2 linked regions of the Astyanax mexicanus genome follow. The protein of the gene in region 2 interacts with the protein of the main gene of each other region in a biochemical or structural test. Links are inferred from orthologs where the notes say so. Each region holds a gene or a part of one and is shown on either strand. Other genes may lie near its edges.

What was found.
Region 1: of the proteins of mib2 (region 2) and cylda, one has a biochemical effect on the other in vitro, tested with the Homo sapiens proteins (2 studies listed by BioGRID, with this or other methods). The link is inferred for Astyanax mexicanus from reciprocal best matches to the Homo sapiens genes MIB2 and CYLD.

The regions. Positions count from the first base shown.
Region 1 is NC_064430.1:11,826,724-11,837,034, forward strand, and holds the start of cylda (ubiquitin carboxyl-terminal hydrolase CYLD), read right to left. Parts: upstream 4,634-10,311; 5' UTR 4,252-4,633; intron 1-4,251. UniProt on the Homo sapiens protein: Deubiquitinase that specifically cleaves 'Lys-63'- and linear 'Met-1'-linked polyubiquitin chains and is involved in NF-kappa-B activation and TNF-alpha-induced necroptosis.
Region 2 is NC_064419.1:12,571,662-12,581,629, reverse strand, and holds the start of mib2 (E3 ubiquitin-protein ligase MIB2), read right to left. Parts: upstream 4,447-9,968; 5' UTR 4,351-4,446; coding exon 4,320-4,350; intron 1-4,319. UniProt on the Homo sapiens protein: E3 ubiquitin-protein ligase that mediates ubiquitination of Delta receptors, which act as ligands of Notch proteins.

The sequences.
Region 1 (10,311 bases), on a different chromosome or scaffold from region 2:
CGATAATATCGTCAAATATTTTAAATATCGTGAACGATTTTATACTCCTAAAATATTGTGAAAAATCACCCATCCTATTTCCCATTATATGTCTGCTAGAGACATAAACATATTTTATATATATATATATATATATATATATATATATATATATATTTGGGGTGCATTATTATTATTATCATTATCATCATGACATTCTGGATCATTGGCTTCTGTTAAAATCTGATAAAATTCTTGTATTTTTTTATATCTCAAATATATATATATATATATATATATATATTTTTTTTTTCTTGCAGTGTATAGTGTATTTTTAAAATATTTTTTTAAAGGATTTTGTCATATTGCCAAGAGTAATGTTATCGCGAAAATACCATGAAATATCTTGAGATTATTTTAGGGCCATATCGCCCACTCCGAAATTATACATTTCTAAAAATATACCATATTAAACAAACCTAACCTATTTCAACATCTGCAACTATTAGATCAATCCAGGATAAGGCATTTTAACTGCTAATTATTACACATAATAAAGTATTATAACAAAAATTATAAAATCATCAACGAGAGCACATTGAAAACACAGCATTAAACTGAACACACCTGAAACTAGTAAAATGGGGCCTGTATAATAACTTCCTGATTTGAAACAGGTCCTTTGATGATTCAAGTCTACAACTTCATCTGCTTCTCTTAACATCCTGATCTGAAACTCATGCGGAAGTTGTGCTGGTCCAAAGCTAAGCTGCTCAACTAGCTTGCTTAGCAGCTGATAAATCAACCAATTTGACCATCAAAGGCCAGCTTAGACCAGTTCCTAGTAGAAGCTGGTGTTTTACCAAAATTTCCATCAGAGAAGTAACGTAGGTCACAGTGCAGCTATCTGTTCTTCAGCGAATACTCCATGAAACACCACAGAGTTTTCTCTTCTGTTCTGAGTTGCTGAGAAGGATGCTGTTGGTGGACTATTCTTCGTCAAGCATTGACACACATGTTTAAAAACTCCAGCAGCATTGCTGTGTTTGACAGCTCACCAGAACAATACATGCTAGTAACACACCATCAACATATCAGTGTCACTTCAGTGATGAGAAAGACCAACCACCCAAGTAATATCTGCATTCTGTGATGGTCTTGTGATTTTCTCAGGTAAAAATATTTGTTAGGTTTTTGGGAACAAGGAGAGGTCATAATGTTATTCTTGTGTGTTCGCTAAGAATGTATCTTTCAATCCATATTAACCTTTTACAATTAGTCAAACAACCTTCATTAGCTCAGAAAAAAAAAAAATACTGGAAATGCAACAAATTTACCATAAAAATTAAAAGTGGACCTAATGGTTCAAAGTAAACCAAATTCTGCAGATAAACTGTAAATGTAATCCATGCACCGTTTACAGAACCAAATTAGCCTGAGACAAAAACACACACAAATACTCCCTGCAGCACTGAACACACTGACTCACTAAGCATGTGCACACTCGGATTTCCCCCCAGAGCTGCCGACCATGTCAATGAAGCTGCAGGGGATTTCACAGACAACCTCACTGCCCAGGCTTCCTGCTCACTAACAGCACATGAGCTGACTAAGATAAGCAACAAAATAATGTAAAAGACTGTGACCTTCCAAAAATATCGTTGACTCATCCCAATGGTTCACTTTTTAGAGGGTAGAAACTACTGAGATTTTAGTAACAGGTGACTGCAATAAAAAATAGCTCTAACTGACATTTTGCGCTACTGTCAGAGAGAGTGGGAAGATGAACGCTCCAACTTCAACTACCCATAATGTAGTGGCCACCACATCCCAGAGGAAACACCTTAATCAAAGAGTAAGAAAAAACGGACGGTCAGGAGTTTAACTTATAGATGCTGTCAGTTTTGCAGAATAAATACAACCCTAAATCAGAAAGCAAGTATGAGCAGCATGAATAAAATGCAAATAAATAAATGCACATTACATTTATTTCTTTGCAGACAGTTTGAGACCAAATATGTGTTTAGTCTGGTAAACTTGTGTCATAGTTAATATAAATCTACTCCTGAAATTTAAATCTGCAAGTCGTTAAAAAAACGGTTAGGATTGGGGCATTTTAGGGCTGGTAATACAGTCAGGAGGTTTACAAATAATAAGATATTAAACATGACTTTTTGGGAAGAAAGACACCATAAGCTCCAGACCAAAGACAATAAGGACCACTTTTAGAGGTTTCATACATTTGCTAAACACAGCTGACAGACTAAGAAGTGGTGAGAAAAGAGGATTGTAAGAGCTATATTTACCCCCTGACAGGGGGTCTTTGTAACCTGACTTTTAAAACAACATTTTTTATGCTAGCACACTCTATCTCTTTAATATCACCACAGTAGATGACAGAAGGACCTGTGGGTTAAAATATCCTTACTAGAATAGTGTATGAACAAGTCAATACATTGTTCCCTCACAAATAGTTTCCATATTTTTTTTATAAACTGTTCCCACAGTTTACAGGGGATGATTAAGCTGAAGTGAGGAACACAATTTTCAAAACTGAGAACATTTTTAAAACTTTAAACTATATTTTTCAGGCTTTATACTTTTAGGGGATTTGTATAATTGCTAAAACAGCTGATGCACTACTTTAGAAAAAAAAAGCCTATGACAGCTTATTTACAACAGCATCCTTCTAGTGCTAGCACACTGATATCAAAATGACCTAAAAGTTAAAATGTTACACAGACCCAGCAATTAGTGAGGGACACATTTATCAAAAACAGTAAATATTTTAAATCTCTAAAGAATATTTTCCTAGCTTTATATTCCTGAGGGCTCTGTATATTTGCTAAACATAGCTGATACACTACCATTAGATTAGAAAGAAAGGACAGACAAATGAATACCCCTGACAGGGGGCTTGGTAACCTGACTTAGGTTAGGCTAGACTAGTGTATAAATAGGTAAATACATTTTTCCCTCACTTCCAAATTTCAACATATTCTAATCAACACTAGGGCTGCAGCGATTAGTCACTATAATCGACAGTGCTGTTGAAAGAAGCGCAATGGGAGATGGGTAAACAGCTCACTCACACATTTTACACTCAACTTTGTATTTCCAAAAGTGCCCAAACACAACAGATAACATCACTAAATATCAGTACTTTTAATGTTTAAGCAACATTCATATATTTTAATGCCATTTAAATCTAATGTTCTGATGTTTCTATCATTTTTGACTAATCGAAAAAATAATCAATAATCAGATTAGTCAACTACCAAAAAATTCATTAGTTGTAGCCCTAATCAACACTAGGAAATTGGGCTTTAAGTTTTTCAAGCTTTATACTTTTAGGGGCTCTGTACACTTGCTAAACACAGCTGATGCACTAAGAATAGTGTATTTTTTATCAAAACTAGGAAACAATTAAAACTCTAGTTTAATAAGTTTCTAGTTGTATAAACTTAGAAAACACTTATAAAAACATAATTTTACCACAGTAGATGATAAACAGTAGATGACAATACGACATGTGGGTTAGTTTAGACTAGTGTATAATTAGGTCAATACATGGTTCCCCCATAAAAAAAGGTTTCCTTGTTTTTACAAATATTTTGATAGATTTTTCTAGCTTTATACTTTTAGGGGCTCTGTACATTTGCTAAACACAGCTAATACACTAAAAATACATTAGAAGAAAGGACTATGACAGCTGAAACCTCCTGACAGGGGGGCTTTGTAACCTGCTGTTTAGGAGAAGAGCATCCTGCTCCTAGTGCTAACTAGCTAATCTATAGCACACGTTATCCTTCTCACAACATCTCATCATTATAATCACCACCACCACAGACCAGTTAATATATTAGTTAAGTTAACTAATATGTGTTGTAATAAATGTGGTGTATGGGGATGACATCACCTCAAATCAGAGCAACCACGTGAAGTCATCGATGCCTGCTAGCTAATCGTAGCTCTCCGTGGCTCTAGCTTGGCTTCAGCTACCTGTGTATGTTAGTTAACAGTATTAGCTACCTTGCTAAGCTAAGCTAGGTCGGCCCTAAACAACTAACTTAACGCAAGCTAACGTTGACCAGTGGTAGCTAAATCTATATGAGTTTGCGAAATACACTTGTTGCAGGGCTTGAGCGACACCGTAAAGACAGTTTTGAGAATTGAGACATTCATGAAAATTCGCTGTACAGAAGGCAGCAGTCAAAGGCAAGGAACGGCGTTAGCCAACAAACTGAGGCTTTAAATTACTTTTCTGTTTACCTGAAACAGTGGCAGCTCCCCCTGGGATGAAAAACAGCCTTCCCTCGGTGAGGAGTGGTGGTTTCACAGCTTTTACTCCAGTGTTTAGTTCGCTAGCGACATAAAAAGCAGGGAAGGAAAAGAAGGTTCACCGGGGTCGCTGGGTTAGCTGCTAACTAGCGTTAGCTAACGTGAGTTAGCTTAACGTTAGCTGTCTAAACAGCGTTAGCTAGCTAGCTACGACTGTAACAGTCCACCTTAGCGTTCCCTCATCGCGGACCTTCTTCAACCATTACATACTAGCAAACAGTGCACTCAAATAAAACAAAGTAACGCTATAAAACACAGAGGCAGCGTTTATTTCAGTTAAACATGGGACCATTTACTGTATACACCACACCAACCGAACCCGTGGAGGAGCCTCCTTCTTCGATTTGATTGGTGGAGGAGCATCTATCTCCGCTCTGATTGGTGGAGGAGCCTCTAGTTTCGCTATGATTGGTTGTTGTGACCTTCTGCTCTATAGGGCCCGCCTTCTGGGGTTTTCCAGTGGTTTGGTTGACGAGCTTGTGTGTATGAAACCTGCAGCTGCTGCTAACAAGGTTGCCAAGTCCAACAAAATATCCAGCCCAAAATCAGACTAAAACCCGCCCTGCAGAAGCTTAAACTAGCCCAAAATATGTGTCTCACCTTCGAAGCAAATGGCAAATTAACTTAGTTTACCACTATTTTGTTTAGTTTGTTATTTGTTATGAATATTGATATTTTATCTAGTCATTAATATTATTGTTTTATTAGTTATTTCATAACAGTTTATCCCAGTCAAGAACATTAAATATATAAATAGTAAAAATTAGCACAAAAAAACAACTTACTTACTCTTTTCTGTTCTTGCCTCTCCTGAACACAATTCTCTCCTCTTTAACCTTTTGTTTATTGCCTGGTGATTTTTGGTTATATTGCGATTTTTTTTTTAAGTAGACCACAAAAACGCACCCCATCAGCCCTGATTTTTCACCCGCGATTGGATTTTTTTTAAAACATTGGGAAAAACCGCGAACCTGGCAACTCTGGCTGCTAATGTGACCGATCTTAAATGCTTTCCTTTTTTGCAAATCCTAGGTTTGTTTGGTGTGTTTAATTGGTTTCCTTACAAAACATGCTCTAAAATATTAACCTTACACACCTATTATACCTGGTCTGTAAAAAAAAACACCCATCATAAGTGACTTAGTTTAGCTTTTATTCAGTTGTAACTGGGACTAAACATTTAATCACTTACTTTCAGCAGCATTGGGCCACTAACAAACAGAGGCAATTATATCAATCAGCTCAGTTATACAGGTGTCTCCCGCTTTTAGGAGTGGAACATACCATTCCTGAAGTTTGGGGCAGGGGGGTATTAGAGTGTAGCCTTTTGTTTCTGTTTTTGATATGAACATGTATTAATTTATGCTTCAGTGTTTATACTATTTGGGTTTATAGCCTTTAAGTTTATGTTTGATAATTTAGTTAATTGAAGCTACTTCAGTTTCAGGTGATGTGCAGGTGAGATGGATCCCCTATAAACCAATAGTGAGAGTCAGTATAGTATATGGTTATAATTCTCATCCAACCACAATCAAATTCACACATCATCCTGATCGTTTTTTTTTATAAGCCAAAATGAAATAGAAGTAGGTCTGTTTTTAAAATGTAAGAAGTAGATAATACAGATAATTGTATTAAAAAAGTATAGAGAACTAATTTCTACTTAAGGTAACAAATTATTAGTACTTAATTGACATGTCTGCACTCTATACATGTGTGTTATTGGATATCTGCTTTGTCCTAGAATTCACACATTTTTGTATCTCTAATTATGCATTATACATTGCAGGACATTTATTACTAAGTCTTTCATATTAAATGTTATATTCAATGTTATTTTGCTAATTGACCACTTTATTGAAGCACTTGCTATTTGAGATAATTACTTTCAAGCTAAGGTGATGTGTGGCTTAACATAATCTGAAAGCTTTTTATTGTTTTATAGGTGCAGTTAATCAACAACTCCAATGTCTTAGATTGATTACCATTTCTGATGTGGTTGGGAAGTGGCTGCGTTTTGCACCAGAAAGTGAGGGTTGTGTTCCCTATATCAAACATAATTGTTATTTTTAAAAGTCCCTTTATGAACTGATTAAATGTTCATACAGAATGGTTCAGGTGTATCAAATAAAAGGGGTTTTGTTCGGTATAAGAAGCAAGTAGAGTAACTTAATTGAAATAAATATTTTTTTTTTATTTTATGTCTATTTTAAATTCGTAAGTGGGGTGCTACTCTTTTATAAGATGTTCTAATAATAAATAATTATAGCAATAATTTCATGTTGAATCAGTGTTTTATTTTTATTTCGATGTGTTAATTAGAAAAACTAAGTGTAAGAATCATTTCCACAACATTGGGTTTTCTTAGTATGCATTTTTCACCAACTAACAAAAGTAATCCTCTAGGGGTCACTAATAGACGGACCGCGGTCCGGACCCAGACCAATAAACTACTGAGATGAATTTAATTCTGACCGTATTTATTCAAAGCGGAGGAACGTTTATTGTCTTTATGGTTTACCTGCTTTGCTGCGCAGTAAACTCACAGACCAATCACGTGTGGTGTTAGATCACCAAACGCTCTCCTCTGCCAATCAGGTCTGTGCAGACCGATGCCCCAGCTTATGAATTGGGACGCAGCCGGGAAAAAAACGCCTTTATAAAGAGACAGGAAATTAAAGACAGGCCCAGCGCGAAAGAGACAGGGACGAATGTACACAAAATCTGGCCACAGATTTTACTGATATATTTTTTAATCATAGTGTTCAACAAACTCACGGGTTAGATGTTTATATATATATATATATATATATATATATATATATATATATGACCGTGGACTGACGAAATTTACTCTAACTGGACCGTACTGAATTCTAATTAAATACCCCTATTCTGAAGAATAACCAGTAAACATGGCCATGGGCCCATGTGCAGGTCCCATCTAGCCACTTACAGGGTTGTAGGATTTGGAGCAGCAAATGGATATTTAGGTTCTTTTTACACTTTGAAATTCATAAATGTCAATTTACATCCCTGTATCTATGCTAATTAAATCAACTTTTATTTGTTTTTATTTCTAATGGCCCAGAGTCAAACTGTATTGAATGTCCCCTTTTTACTTGTTTAGCTGTCATTTCCTTTTTTAATAAGAGAAATGGAAGACAAACTTCATTAAAACAAGTGGATAAAACATGTAATGAATAGCATTAGCAACAATACCATTAAAATAAATTCAACCAGTACTATAAGTAACATCTCCAGCTAATCCTGCACAACTAAAAAGCCTCTTCCAAGCTGCTGACGCTCAAGGACAGACAACTTGCACCCAGCTGGAACAGACTTGAGCAAGTCCATTGAAAGTGGTGTTTGTTATGAAAGCCCTGAAGGGTAAACGTAAGTGTGCAAAAACGTAAGGGTAAGTGTGCAATTTTGACTAAACGCACCTTTTCCTTGGCATGTGTAACAAACTCTGTAATCACTTATGTAAATTTAGCCATGAAAACTACTACTGAAGGGCACCAGAAGAGAAATGTACAAAAATAATCTGTAAAGTAATCTGTACCCGCACTGACCACATGGCCTAGTTTTCAGTGTTTTGTTAACATAAAAAAACACGTCACAAATGTGAAATGTCACATTAAAAAAAAAATCAATTTGTACAAAACACAATGGCTTGTAAATGTAGTTTGGGGGTTTTGTTTGGCAATCTTTTTTTTATTTTCTTGAAATGAAGGCCCCTTTATTGCATTAATCACAATTCTGTTCAGTATTACTATACAATTCGATGTTAATCAGTAATGCTATAATATACAGCCATTTTTTTAAGTCAGTCATTATCCTTCTAAACAGTTGCACAAGATTCCTAGACCAAATATATTTTAATTGTCTGCAGGACGACGCACGCGCATACACGCACAAAACTGGAGATACTCTGGGTATAACACTACTGCAGTAAAAGTAGAAGTAGAAATAAAAATAAAGTAATAATAAAAAAAAGTACAGTATCCAATTTTATTTACTTTGAAACGGTCCTAGACCATCACATGTACTTGTAAATAAGTTTGTAAAAAAAAAAAAAAAAAAAAAAAAAAAACACCTTTAAAAAAATGCTACTCAATATAGTGGTGGTCTCCTCACTGGTAAGATCACGCTCTTCAACTCCACATCTTTGAAATGAGGATATATTGACTCATTCCTACAATCAAAACAGAAAAAAAATATGATCATTTTAAATTTTAATAGGCTAACATTTGGTTATCAGAGACTCAATCACAGGGAACAGTAAAATGCAGAATTCAGCTAAAGCCTTGTTTACAAATCTTGAGTTACACAAGAATTAACTGGTGTAAACAGAACCCTTAGTGACTTTATAAATTCAGTGATTTCATAAATTCTAAGTTATAAGTCATCCTGCATCAGTAAAAAAACATTTTCTTTATCCGTGACTGGAATTTACTGTATTTGTCTTCATTTGGTCACAAACACTAAACTAAAAGGCAGGAAATGTCCGCGCAGGAGCGCGAGTTTCGACCACAGGGGAGGCTGGCGCCTCGGCTATGGCACCACGGGAAAATCTGCACACTGCATTATCTATCCAACACTAGAACATTAATAATCAGCAGGTTATAAATGTAGATAACTGATGGCGAACAGCCCTGTAACAGATAATGAGCGGAAAATGCTCCTTTCCCTCCCTCAGCGCTCCGCTCTTAAACTGCAACAATTACATTTTCCTCAAAATTCAACTCTATAACGTCTTAATTCCCGTAATATCACGTCATACCATCTTTATTCTCGCAATATAACATTATTTTCATAATATTACACCTTTAAGTTAACTATTTTTTTTTTTTTTTGTATGGCTCTAAAACATCGTCCTAATAAAGGAATATGATAAAGAAACTATTCAGGAATAAACTACCCATTGTTTACTCTCTCCAGGTTGCACTTTTTACAAAGTCCCTGTTAAAACCTCTCCCTTTTTGCAAAGCCTATGTTTGTTGGGTGTGTTAAATATAGTTCCTTACAAAAAAAGGTCTTAAGTATTAAGCTTACACACCTATTTTACCTGCTCTGTTAAAAAAAAAACATGCACAACCCATCAAAAGTAACTTAATTCAGCTTTTATTTATGTCTACATTAACCATTGAACCACTTACTTGCAGCAGCACTGGGACGCTAACAAACAGAACCAACCGTCCCAATCAGCCCAGTTATACAGGTGTCTCCCGCCTTTAGGAGTGGAACATACCATTCCTGAAGTTTGGGACAGGGGGTATTAGAGTGTAGCTTTTTATTTCTGACATGTTTTTGATATGAACATTTATTAATTTATGCTTCAGTGTTCATCATATGCTTTAATGTTTATACTATGTGGGTGTTTAGCCTTTAAATTAATTTATAAGTTTGATTATTTAGTTAATTGAAGCTACTTCAGTTGGATTGGTCTGAAAGGAGGGGCTAAGACTTTATATAGGAGGCGCAGCAAGCGCAGTGAGGGTTGTTGTTTCTTTGTGCTCTTTAATGCTTAAATGCAGCAGTTAAGTAGTTCTAAAGTGTATTATTAATAGCTGAAAGAGCCTTAGTTTAAAATTTTCACGTGTGTCTGCCAGAGATCATCTACAATGTTCTTGTTGGAGTTTCACCTGAAATGCAGGCAAGTAATATATATATATATATATATATATATAAGCTATTGTCTGAAGTCACTCATTATCCTTCTAAACAGCTGCATAAGATTCCAAGACCAAATAGATTTTAATTGTCTGGCAAAATACACAAAATCACACTTTAGTTAAAGTAGAGTTACTCAAGGTAAAACACTACAGCAGTAAAAGTAGAAGTCCTCACTTATGACCACAAAAAAGAATATAACAGTATTTGATTTCAAATGTACTTAAGCATAGACACTCCCACAACTTTACATTGTGTACTAGTTTAAAAAAAGACCTTAAGTAGAGTAACCAATTATAGTTATTTTATAACCTT
Region 2 (9,968 bases):
ACAATAACAAGCTCAAACTGCTGATGTTAAAAATATCTCTATAATATTCATGCATTTCAATAGAATTCATGTTGTAATTTGTTCCCTATCCTACCAATTCTTTGAGTTATACCCCATCGCCATCACTGTAAACCTGTGGGAAGCATCGGTTAAAAAGCTGTATTTGGGAATGCTGGGGGAGAAACGGTTAAATTCATACTCATTATCATGTTTCACTACTACACCACAACACTACCATGGTACTACACTACCATTTCACACCGGATTTCTCCTTTAACACAGTGACCCATGTAGGTCTCTCAAAATCACTGTTTTTAACAGACAATATATTGTTCCTGAAACTATTGCAATTAATGATAAATATTTTTTATATAATTTTATGGTCTGGAACTTTCCTAAGCACACACCAGGACGCAAAAGTAGTTTTTACTTACATTGAAAAAGAAATTACACAGTTTCAAATAAGTGTATCTCTTGATTAAACAATGTAAAAGACTACTGCAGCAGTAAAACTGTACTCTGTGTTTGTGTGTGTGTGTGACAAAACAGAGAAAAGGACAACATGCCTGGTTAAATAAACATCTCCGCTGAAATAAATGCAAACAAACACAACAGCAATAACGAGGTCGGAAAAAACTATAGACATCAGCTTCAATAAAATAATTATCATGACAAGCCTAGAACAACAAATATTAAACAAAAAAGAGAATAAAGAACAAATAAAAATGAATAATATAATATAAAATAACTACAAACTAAAATTTGTCTAAATGTCTGAAATTTAAATATATATTAGATGACTGAATGATGGGAGTCCATGTAATCTTCAATCACCAAGGTACCAATTAGCTAATATTGAAAAAGCCTAATTGCCTGCAGCAGATGCTTCTAAATCTACAATGGACTACCACAGGTATTCTTGTTCACTGTGCCTTCATGGCACTCACCTTGGGCATGCCACCTGTTAGCACATGCCGGTGCCAGTTTATCCATGCTTGCTCAGACTAGAAGGATAATCCACCTAGCATGGCAGAACAGATGGAGCAGCTCACTGCAATAAGCATGAAGAGGCCATTCAAACATCACCTCCTACCACACTGTACACAGGTACTTGCTTATACATGCACATTTAAATAAGCTACAGCTAAGCGATATAAATATAAAAACTCATCTTGATATGCTGAAGAAAAACGGTGATATATACAATATGAGCCTCCATCAATACAAGATCTTGGGGAAAAATTAATGCAGCAGATAGAAAGAATAAAAAGAAATGTTGTGACACTGTAGAAGCTTGTGGAAACAATGCCACAGTGAATGCATGACGTAATCAAACCTAAAAGCGTCTAATCAAATATTACAGTGTGATCTTTTTGGCCAGGCAGTGTATAAACTAAAATATTAGGAGGTTCTGTTAGCACCTTTAATATTAAAGCTGTGTTTCCCTTGACAACTAATGTAAAGGAAACATTAGTTTACATATTTGATAGCTCTAAATTCTGCTGTTATTTGTTTTGTAGCACATTGTAATTGAAAATGTAAAATAAATTAATTCCCATATAATGCCCTATATTTAAAGAATATTTACAATATCACCCAGCCCTATTTGTGATATGTTAAACAGAACTGGGTAAAACAACAACTAAAGACTAGTCCAGGAGCATGCAAAAGCTTTTACGACTAGTTTACAATACAGGTAGTGGCAGGCGGTGCTTACTGCAGGGCTTTATTTGGGCTATTCATTGTATACTAACTCTACCTCTTCACAACTTTACAACTGATGCTCTTCAATACATTAAAAGACAAGAAATTCAAGTAATTAACTCTTGATGAGTTCAGCACAGCTGTTAACTCAAAGTCATTGCAGGTGACTTTACTGCAGAAAATCCCAGAATGTGCAAAGTTGTCATCAAAGCAAAGAGGGGCTATTTTGAAGAATATAAAATATAAAACATTCTTTTTTGTTAAACAAATAATTCTATATGTTTTCCTTATAGTCTGAATGACTTGAGCATTCATCTAAAATGCAGAACATTGTAAAATAATAAAAAAAAAAACATTGGCTCTGTATATACCGTAATCCTATATAACCAGTCAGACTAGCTTATAAGATATTTGAATACTATAAAACAGTATAAAAAGGTCACTATTAAACTAAACGAGTGCAGGATGTCTCAATATATAAATACATAATCTGTGGGGCTGCATTATATAGAGATCACACAAAAACACAAAGATCTGATTAGTATCGCTGCTCTTTACCATTTAGAGACTTGAATAATATTGGAGCAAAAATAATCTGATTGGGACATTCCTACTTATGTCCATTTAGTGTCTCTCAATTTCCTTATGCGAATTTCCTGAGAACTCTGACAAAAGTGGGCATGACACTGCAAACTGGCCAAGGCTTCAGAAACAGGAACTGCTCACATCCGCTTCCTCTGGGTTAGTTATCTCAGAGCAGTCTGGCTCATATAAGCACATTTTAGACGAGTTCCTGAGTTTCTGACTGTTTCAGAGATTACAGTCGCTGAGGGCCAAGGAGGGGTAAAAAAAACTCTCTACACTCTTCTACACAACTGTACCAGAAAAGCCCTACTATAAAACCTCTTTATAAACTCCAGACTACAAACTAGCCATTAAAAAATACAAGAGAATTCACTACCTCACTTCAAAACCTAAAACAAATATGAATTACATGCTGGATTACAAAAAGGAGAACTTTTGAAGTCAGTGTTGAATAATCATTCTTGTATTAAAGCAGAAAAACCTGTTGCAATGTATTCAAGTGAAAGCCATGAAATAAAAGGATGTTTCAAGTCTGAGTGCTTTTTTTGGGTTTCTGGAAGAGTCAAACAAAATCCATTTCTATCGTACAGCTTTGTAGTCCTGACAGACCTGGAAGAGTAAATGCTAGAACTGGCTTTCGTCAGACACATATGGTGACCCAGGGTTTACAGAGGGAAAGGAGAGCAAGGAGAAATCAATACTGATCCAGGATAAACAACACACCAAGGGGATTACATCAACTCTGCAGAACTGTCTAAAGCACTGACGGGAGACCCGCTTTCTAACACTCTCTCAAGATCATGCAGATTGTAGATTTAGAACCCAAACAATTCCTAAAAAAAAGATGATGACAAAACTTCAGTGATATAATAAAATATTAAGACGTAGCATGTCACCCTGATCAGAAATAACGTGATTCCAACAAAGAAAATAAAGAAATCCAAAAAGATGGAAGAAATATCAACAGAACAGCAGTCAAATTTGTCTACTTTAAATCTTTTGCTAATAATAATCATCAACATTACTATCTAGATATAAAAAATGTTAGTTATAAATAAAAAAAATTACAAAAAGCATGCAACAGTACAAAAAGCACTCAGGGTTCAGTGTGAATAAAGCACAAAGAGGAAAAATCAATAAAACAACAAACACTAACCCATGTTTCATTTTATAAAATTTAATTCCGTACTAGAGGGCACTAGTGTATTAAAGTGTAGGGCAGGGGGGACAAACAAAACTACAGTTATGATAGTAATATTCTTCAATTACTACAGTTTTCACAAAAATGTGCAAATCCAATGGTTCACAACTTAATATTCGGATTCACTGCTGATCTGGATTGAGACAACCTCCTTTGGTTGGACATAGGCCCGTCATGATAATTATACCATTAAATTATTCTGATAATCAGTCCTAGAGAGCAAAATTGGCCGTGCTCTCTCCCTAAGGTGATGTCTGTCAGCACAAGGCGTCTCTGAGCTGATGATTTCTTGTGCTATTACATTATCAATATGCCAGTGGCAATTAATGGTCTTTTTATATCGTTTATATCAAATTATATCGTTCATCACAATCAATTTAAAAAATATCTTATTGTGAATTTTTTATTTTTTATTTTATTTTGACGAGTTTTGGACCGATACAGATACTGAGTATCAGATCAGCTCACCCCTAATTACTCTTCATCCCTAATTTTATATTATATAACACAATATAATAAACACCCTTAGCACAATGTGAGTTCAATCCTTGTGACTTCAGTCACGCTCATTAATCACTAACTAATCCCTAAATAAATGATTAAACAACAGCTAATTGATACCTGATATATACAGTATAATAATGTAATTAAGCACCTAACATTAAGCATAGCTCTCTGGATGATTTCTCACTGAATATGACTCAATGCCATGCACTATTTCATCACAATGTCCAGCTGTTGCTTCAGTACTACTTTACTTTACTATATTAACAACTGCAGTAATCTCTACAACAATATTACTATACAAAAAGGTAATTACATCACTTACAACCCATGAACTTCAGGCCACTTCTGAGCATCTTTACTGCTGTATGATCCAGTCAGACATTTAACTGTCTGTTCTCCTTTGTGATCCACTCACTCTCTCAGCAGTTCCTCAGTGAACACCGACTCTCCAAATCTGCCAAACTGTTTCAGCTGTACAGAACTGTTTGTTTTTAGATGAACTTTGCTCTTAGTTCGAGAACTCCACGTTTTACGCTTTTTGACTAAAATGTTGCATGGCAGCCATGCAAACAGGACAAATAGAACTTTCAAAAACAGTCCCACAAAAGCTACAGGTGTGTTTTTAAATAAAACATCACGCTAACAAACTGAAATATGGAATATTGATATAAATATTAATAATAGTAATAAGGGTAAATAAGCCAATGAATCTTCTATAAATAAATCATATATAAACAGTATAGTTAAATAAAAAGTATTTTTTCAGTATGAAACTTCTTCTGCTTGCCTTAATTAGTGTAATCAACATATCTAACATATTTGCAACCACCCTGCAAAAACAAAAATTTGTGGTGCAGCCTAAGCTTTATTTAAGCTCCCCTTACATTACTTTTAATTTAATCCTTTAAGTAGTTTTGAAACCAGTACTTTTACACTTTTACTTTGAGTAAAAAGCTTGAGTTGATTCTTTTACAGAAGTATTTAAACCCTAGTATCTACCTGAGTAATAAATAGGGAGACTTTGCACACCTTTGTTTAAAATCCACAAATAAATAAAAGGCTGGAACAAGAAGATCTGTATAATTATCCAAACGTGTTTAAAAAAAAAAAAAAAAAAAACAAGAGCCATACAACTGCAGGTAATACTCACAGTTCATCTTCAGATTTCCAAGCTGTTGTGCTAGTTTATTACTGCTGACTGGACTCAATATACTAGAAAAATGTTTTCTAAAGTCTAGCCTTGCTGGTTTTCCTCACACTTTTGCTTGACTTCAGACCCTGATGCTATTTGAGATGAGAACTGAAGCTGCAGACGGTGGAATTAACATCCTGTCTACAAAGCTGGTTGGGCATTGAAAGTAAAAAAAGAAAGTTGAAACTGAAAGCCAAATTAGAGACAAGTGATTTCTTGAAAGAAGCAAATAATTCCCAGACAGATTTCTTTCTTTATTTCTATTACAAACACCTTTACTAGAATTTACTTGACAACTGAAAATATTCACTAAAAACAATAATAAAACATTTTTTAGTTTTCATCTGAAGGAGTAAAACAAAACAATTGACTAATTTATTTTTTTATTTTTTTAAAAGAAATTTTATTAAAACACTTTCCCCTTAACTGATATGTATTCAATAAATAGTGCATTCATGGAATATAAAAAAAGCTAGCAGTATATAAACAAAAGACAACAAGACAAAATTGTTCACTGTATACAAATAAAAACTGATATTACAGGCAATATTACAAACTAATCAGTTTATCAACAGAGTATTACTAGGGCTGTCACATTAACATGTTAAGTTCAATTAATTGATTACATGACAAAGAACGTGTTTAAAAAATATCGCTGATTAATTTATTAGGACTTTAAACTTTTAGGATACTTATAGTATGTATTTTTTATGTATATTGCTGTCCTTAACAAAAAATAGAAGAAATTTATATTTTTAGAATGACTTTCTATATAACTATTTTTAGCATGATTTTCAAATATTTTTTTATTTGTACTTCCTACTGGTGAGGACAGCTAAACATTTACATGGTACATTTTGATAGTTTGATGTACCTATATTAAACTAAAAATTGCAAAGTATGTTACAGGAAACGTTAACACAGGCTGGATTTCCTTTTACTTTTTTTTTTTTTTTTAAATGATTGTTTGTCTAAGACAATATTTATATATTTTTATTAAAGTCTGTAGTTACATCATATAACTTAATTTGGAGTGGACAGAGTACAGTATCTCTTAGCCAGCAATTGTTATTTTAACTAATGTTAATATTATTAATAATCCTGTTTAAACTCTCCTCAGCAGCTCTCTGCAGTAATTTATGTCTCCACGGGTAATATAGAAATCAGTGTTTAAACTGTACAGAACTAGTAAAGACAGACTAAGAAGCATCATGGAGTAATATGTGCGTTTGTGTACAATTGACACAGCGCTGCTATTACACTGTATGCACGTCTTTCTCTCCCGATCTCTTACGCGCTGCAATTCCCACCCACACTACAACTTCATTGGCGTACTAAGCAGGAGTGCTCACTCTCTCACGGCCAATCAGGATGCTCACTCTCTCACTAAGTGTGTGTCTTCCTCTCTCTTGCACCATCACACATTAACGATGCTTCAACAATGAAATTCTGTGTCAACAAATATTTATAGTTGACATTGTTGATTATGGCGACTAATTGCTGTAGCCCTAATTCACACACACATGCAAATTAACAATCCTACATCATCACAACACACAGATACCATTATTACATTTTTCTGAGAATTTTAGAGTATGTACCAAATGTACCTGATCTCTATGTTTTAGACTGTGAGAGGAAACCGGAGTTCACAGGGGAAACCCACACGTACATGGGGAGAACAAGGAAAAGCCACCAAGCTGTGTTAAATGTTGTCATACCTTTTTTTAAGGTCTATTGTTCACATTCTTCAGCTGTTTTTCAGCTAATGAACTCTGACTCCTTCATATATTGTGTAGTTTTTTGTGGGACAAAGTAAAGCCAATACTAGCCAAAGTCTGACATTTTATACTACACTTATTCCTATATTAAAGACCAGTCATGCAAAAAACTATAAATAATTAATAATAATCAAAATACCGTTATATACCATTAAACTGTCAGAAATACAGTGATTTTCAATTTTGGCTATACCGCCCGGCACTAGTGACCTGTACATGGATTTTAGACTGCAATTTTAGCAACCTGTTTATCATTTACGTTTCTTATACAAAAAATTCAGTCAGACTGAAATCTGATTGCTGTGTAAAATAAAATACACAATTTTAAACATGCAAATACTGGTGTTTTAGTGGCCAAACACATCTTGACTCTCTCCCAGACCATTTAACTAACAGATTAAACAGTGTGAAGCTGCTGATGGTGTACGCTCACAGCCTCTAATCCCTGAAGTACTATTGTGAGTGGAGGTAGTTTCCACTCAGGAACTACTGTTCATACCTGTCAAGTTTTAGATTTAAAAATAAGGGATATTTTACTCTGTCCGCTTAAAGCCGTCCCACCAGCCCAACGAAGGTAAGGTATCCCTTACGTTTTAAGATAGGTTTACAAAAAAATCTAAAATAACGACATGTGAACCACTTATACACTACAAATAGATGATCAGAATCTGAAATGTTGTGGACATTCCTGCATATGTCATTCTTTTAATACAGCCAAATTAAAAACCCGTTTCTATATATTTTTTAAAAAGTTAAGATTTCATGTCTTTTTGGTATAAATGCACTCTTTTATATGATATATTTTTTATTTATTTAATGGATTTAAAATTGAACAAAGGGTGCACAAATTCTGCAAAATGAATCTTTTGATCACTCCACCCCTGATCAGTTTAGTTAATTTCGGTCCTCGCCACATTTCTAGTTAAACTGAGTCACAAGCTGTAATTTTTTTATTTTAAAATGTTTAATCTGTGTGTTTTATTTCGGAGACGAGTATTTTTAAGCAGCTATCAGAAAAATCTCATCACAGTTTACATGATTAGCCTACCGTTACCTTTCTTTTAGAAAAATCGCTGCATATCCAGATATTTTTTAACGTCAGCTGATCCGACTAGCTGCCTGAACTCACAGCGACGGGGGGCTTCCCCACCCTCCTTTGCAAGCTGATTGGCTGTTTCTCCTGAAAGGCGTGACTTTCTCCTTGAACCGCCTCCACGATTGGTTAAGAGACACAGAGCGGTCAGTGCCCTGTCTCCTCAATAATATATATATTTTTAATTGTAATATAATACGGGAAATTTACGGGAAAATACTAATACGGGAGGACGGCGAGAAAGAGGAGTAAAATACGGTAGTTTCCCGGCCAAAACGGGAGACTTCACAGGTATGCTACTGTTATTCAATTTGTTCATTAGATGATATTGCATCTTTTATAAATATCAGTAAACTGCTCTGCTCTGCTGATGTGGTTCACTTATACACTTGTGCTTCCTCTGTAATGTCATTTAGTTGTACTTCCTTCTTTATAAATTTGCTATTTTCAAAGCTTTTTACAGCTATTTTCAAAGCTTTTTACAGCTATTTTCAAAGCTTTTTTGTGTGTATATATATATATATATACACACACACACACTTTTATTATTGTTATTATTTCTATTTTATAATTATTGTCCTGACCTACTGCTATGCTAAAAGAGCATTGTTCTATAGGTCAGATAAGGACTGCAGGACTTCACAGTCCAACATCATCCCATTTACGGATAATGAGGACTTATCTTCTCATCATATTCATAATAAGATCCACCGTACACATGGCTGTGGCGAGAAAACTACAATGAGTCTTCTCTCAGACAAATTAACTTCCTCTTATGAGTTATATGGTCGAGTAGACATATAAAATAGAGAAAAATAGAGACACAGGGAATTTGTACAGGACTGTCTATCAGGATCCCATTATACTACCAGCATTTCAAGATAAAAATCTGTTATCTCTGATTAGAGCTGCAACCATTAGTTGATAATGTTGATTCAAAAAAATTGCCTCTAAACTTAAGTGGCCCAACCTGTACTTCTTTTTTTTATTCACAAAAAGTTTTTATTTTAGAATAAAATTCACAATATGAGAATATATTAGAAAGAAAGAAATAACATTGTTATAAGAAATAACAAGAAATAATCGCTGACTAATTGAAAAATCAAACAAATAACTGATAGATTAGTCAAATTATTCTAAAATAATCAGTAGTTGCAGCCCTATTTTTGATAAACTGTAAGTGTAAGCTCAACAGCCACAAAACAGTTACAGCAACACAACAACACAAGCTACAGTTTACAGACACTACTACATTACTACCATAACTGGCTGGATTACCTCTATGCGTGCGATTGTGTGTGTGCAGCACACAGAGCAGCAGTTGAGGAAAAACACAGCGTGGTCTTCAGGCCTTCAGCCCTGCAAGCCCATCCCCTCACATACACAGGCCTCAACAAAAGCTGCAAAAATATATATAATGCAGTAAAAACAAATAAGAAAGAAAATACAAAGAAAAAAATCAGATCCCAGCGTTCACTCGTCAGCGTTTTTGAACGAAGGCCCAGCTAGAGCCCAGGCACGGGGCAGGGTGGCGTGTCCGTCTCCACGGACAGTGCTGACGCGCCAATCGCAGCATTCGGGAGCAGGCGCTGTATGCTGCTGGAGGATGCAGCCAGCGTTTAGACCTTTGTGTGCCTTATCAGCAGGGATTAGCCAGGAGGGGACGGGGAAACTGGCTGCAGAGCTCGCAGGTGACAGCTCGTGAATGTCCGAGCAGTGTTCACAGAGGTCTATTTACGGTGCTGGCAAACCCCTGTCTTACACACACACATACACACACACACACACGTATATTGACACCAATATAAACATGTAAACAACTGCATGCTATATTTAACAACTGTCTACATTTGAGGTAAGCAACCCTTCAATCTGCACATTAGCATGTTATTATTAGGGCTGTAG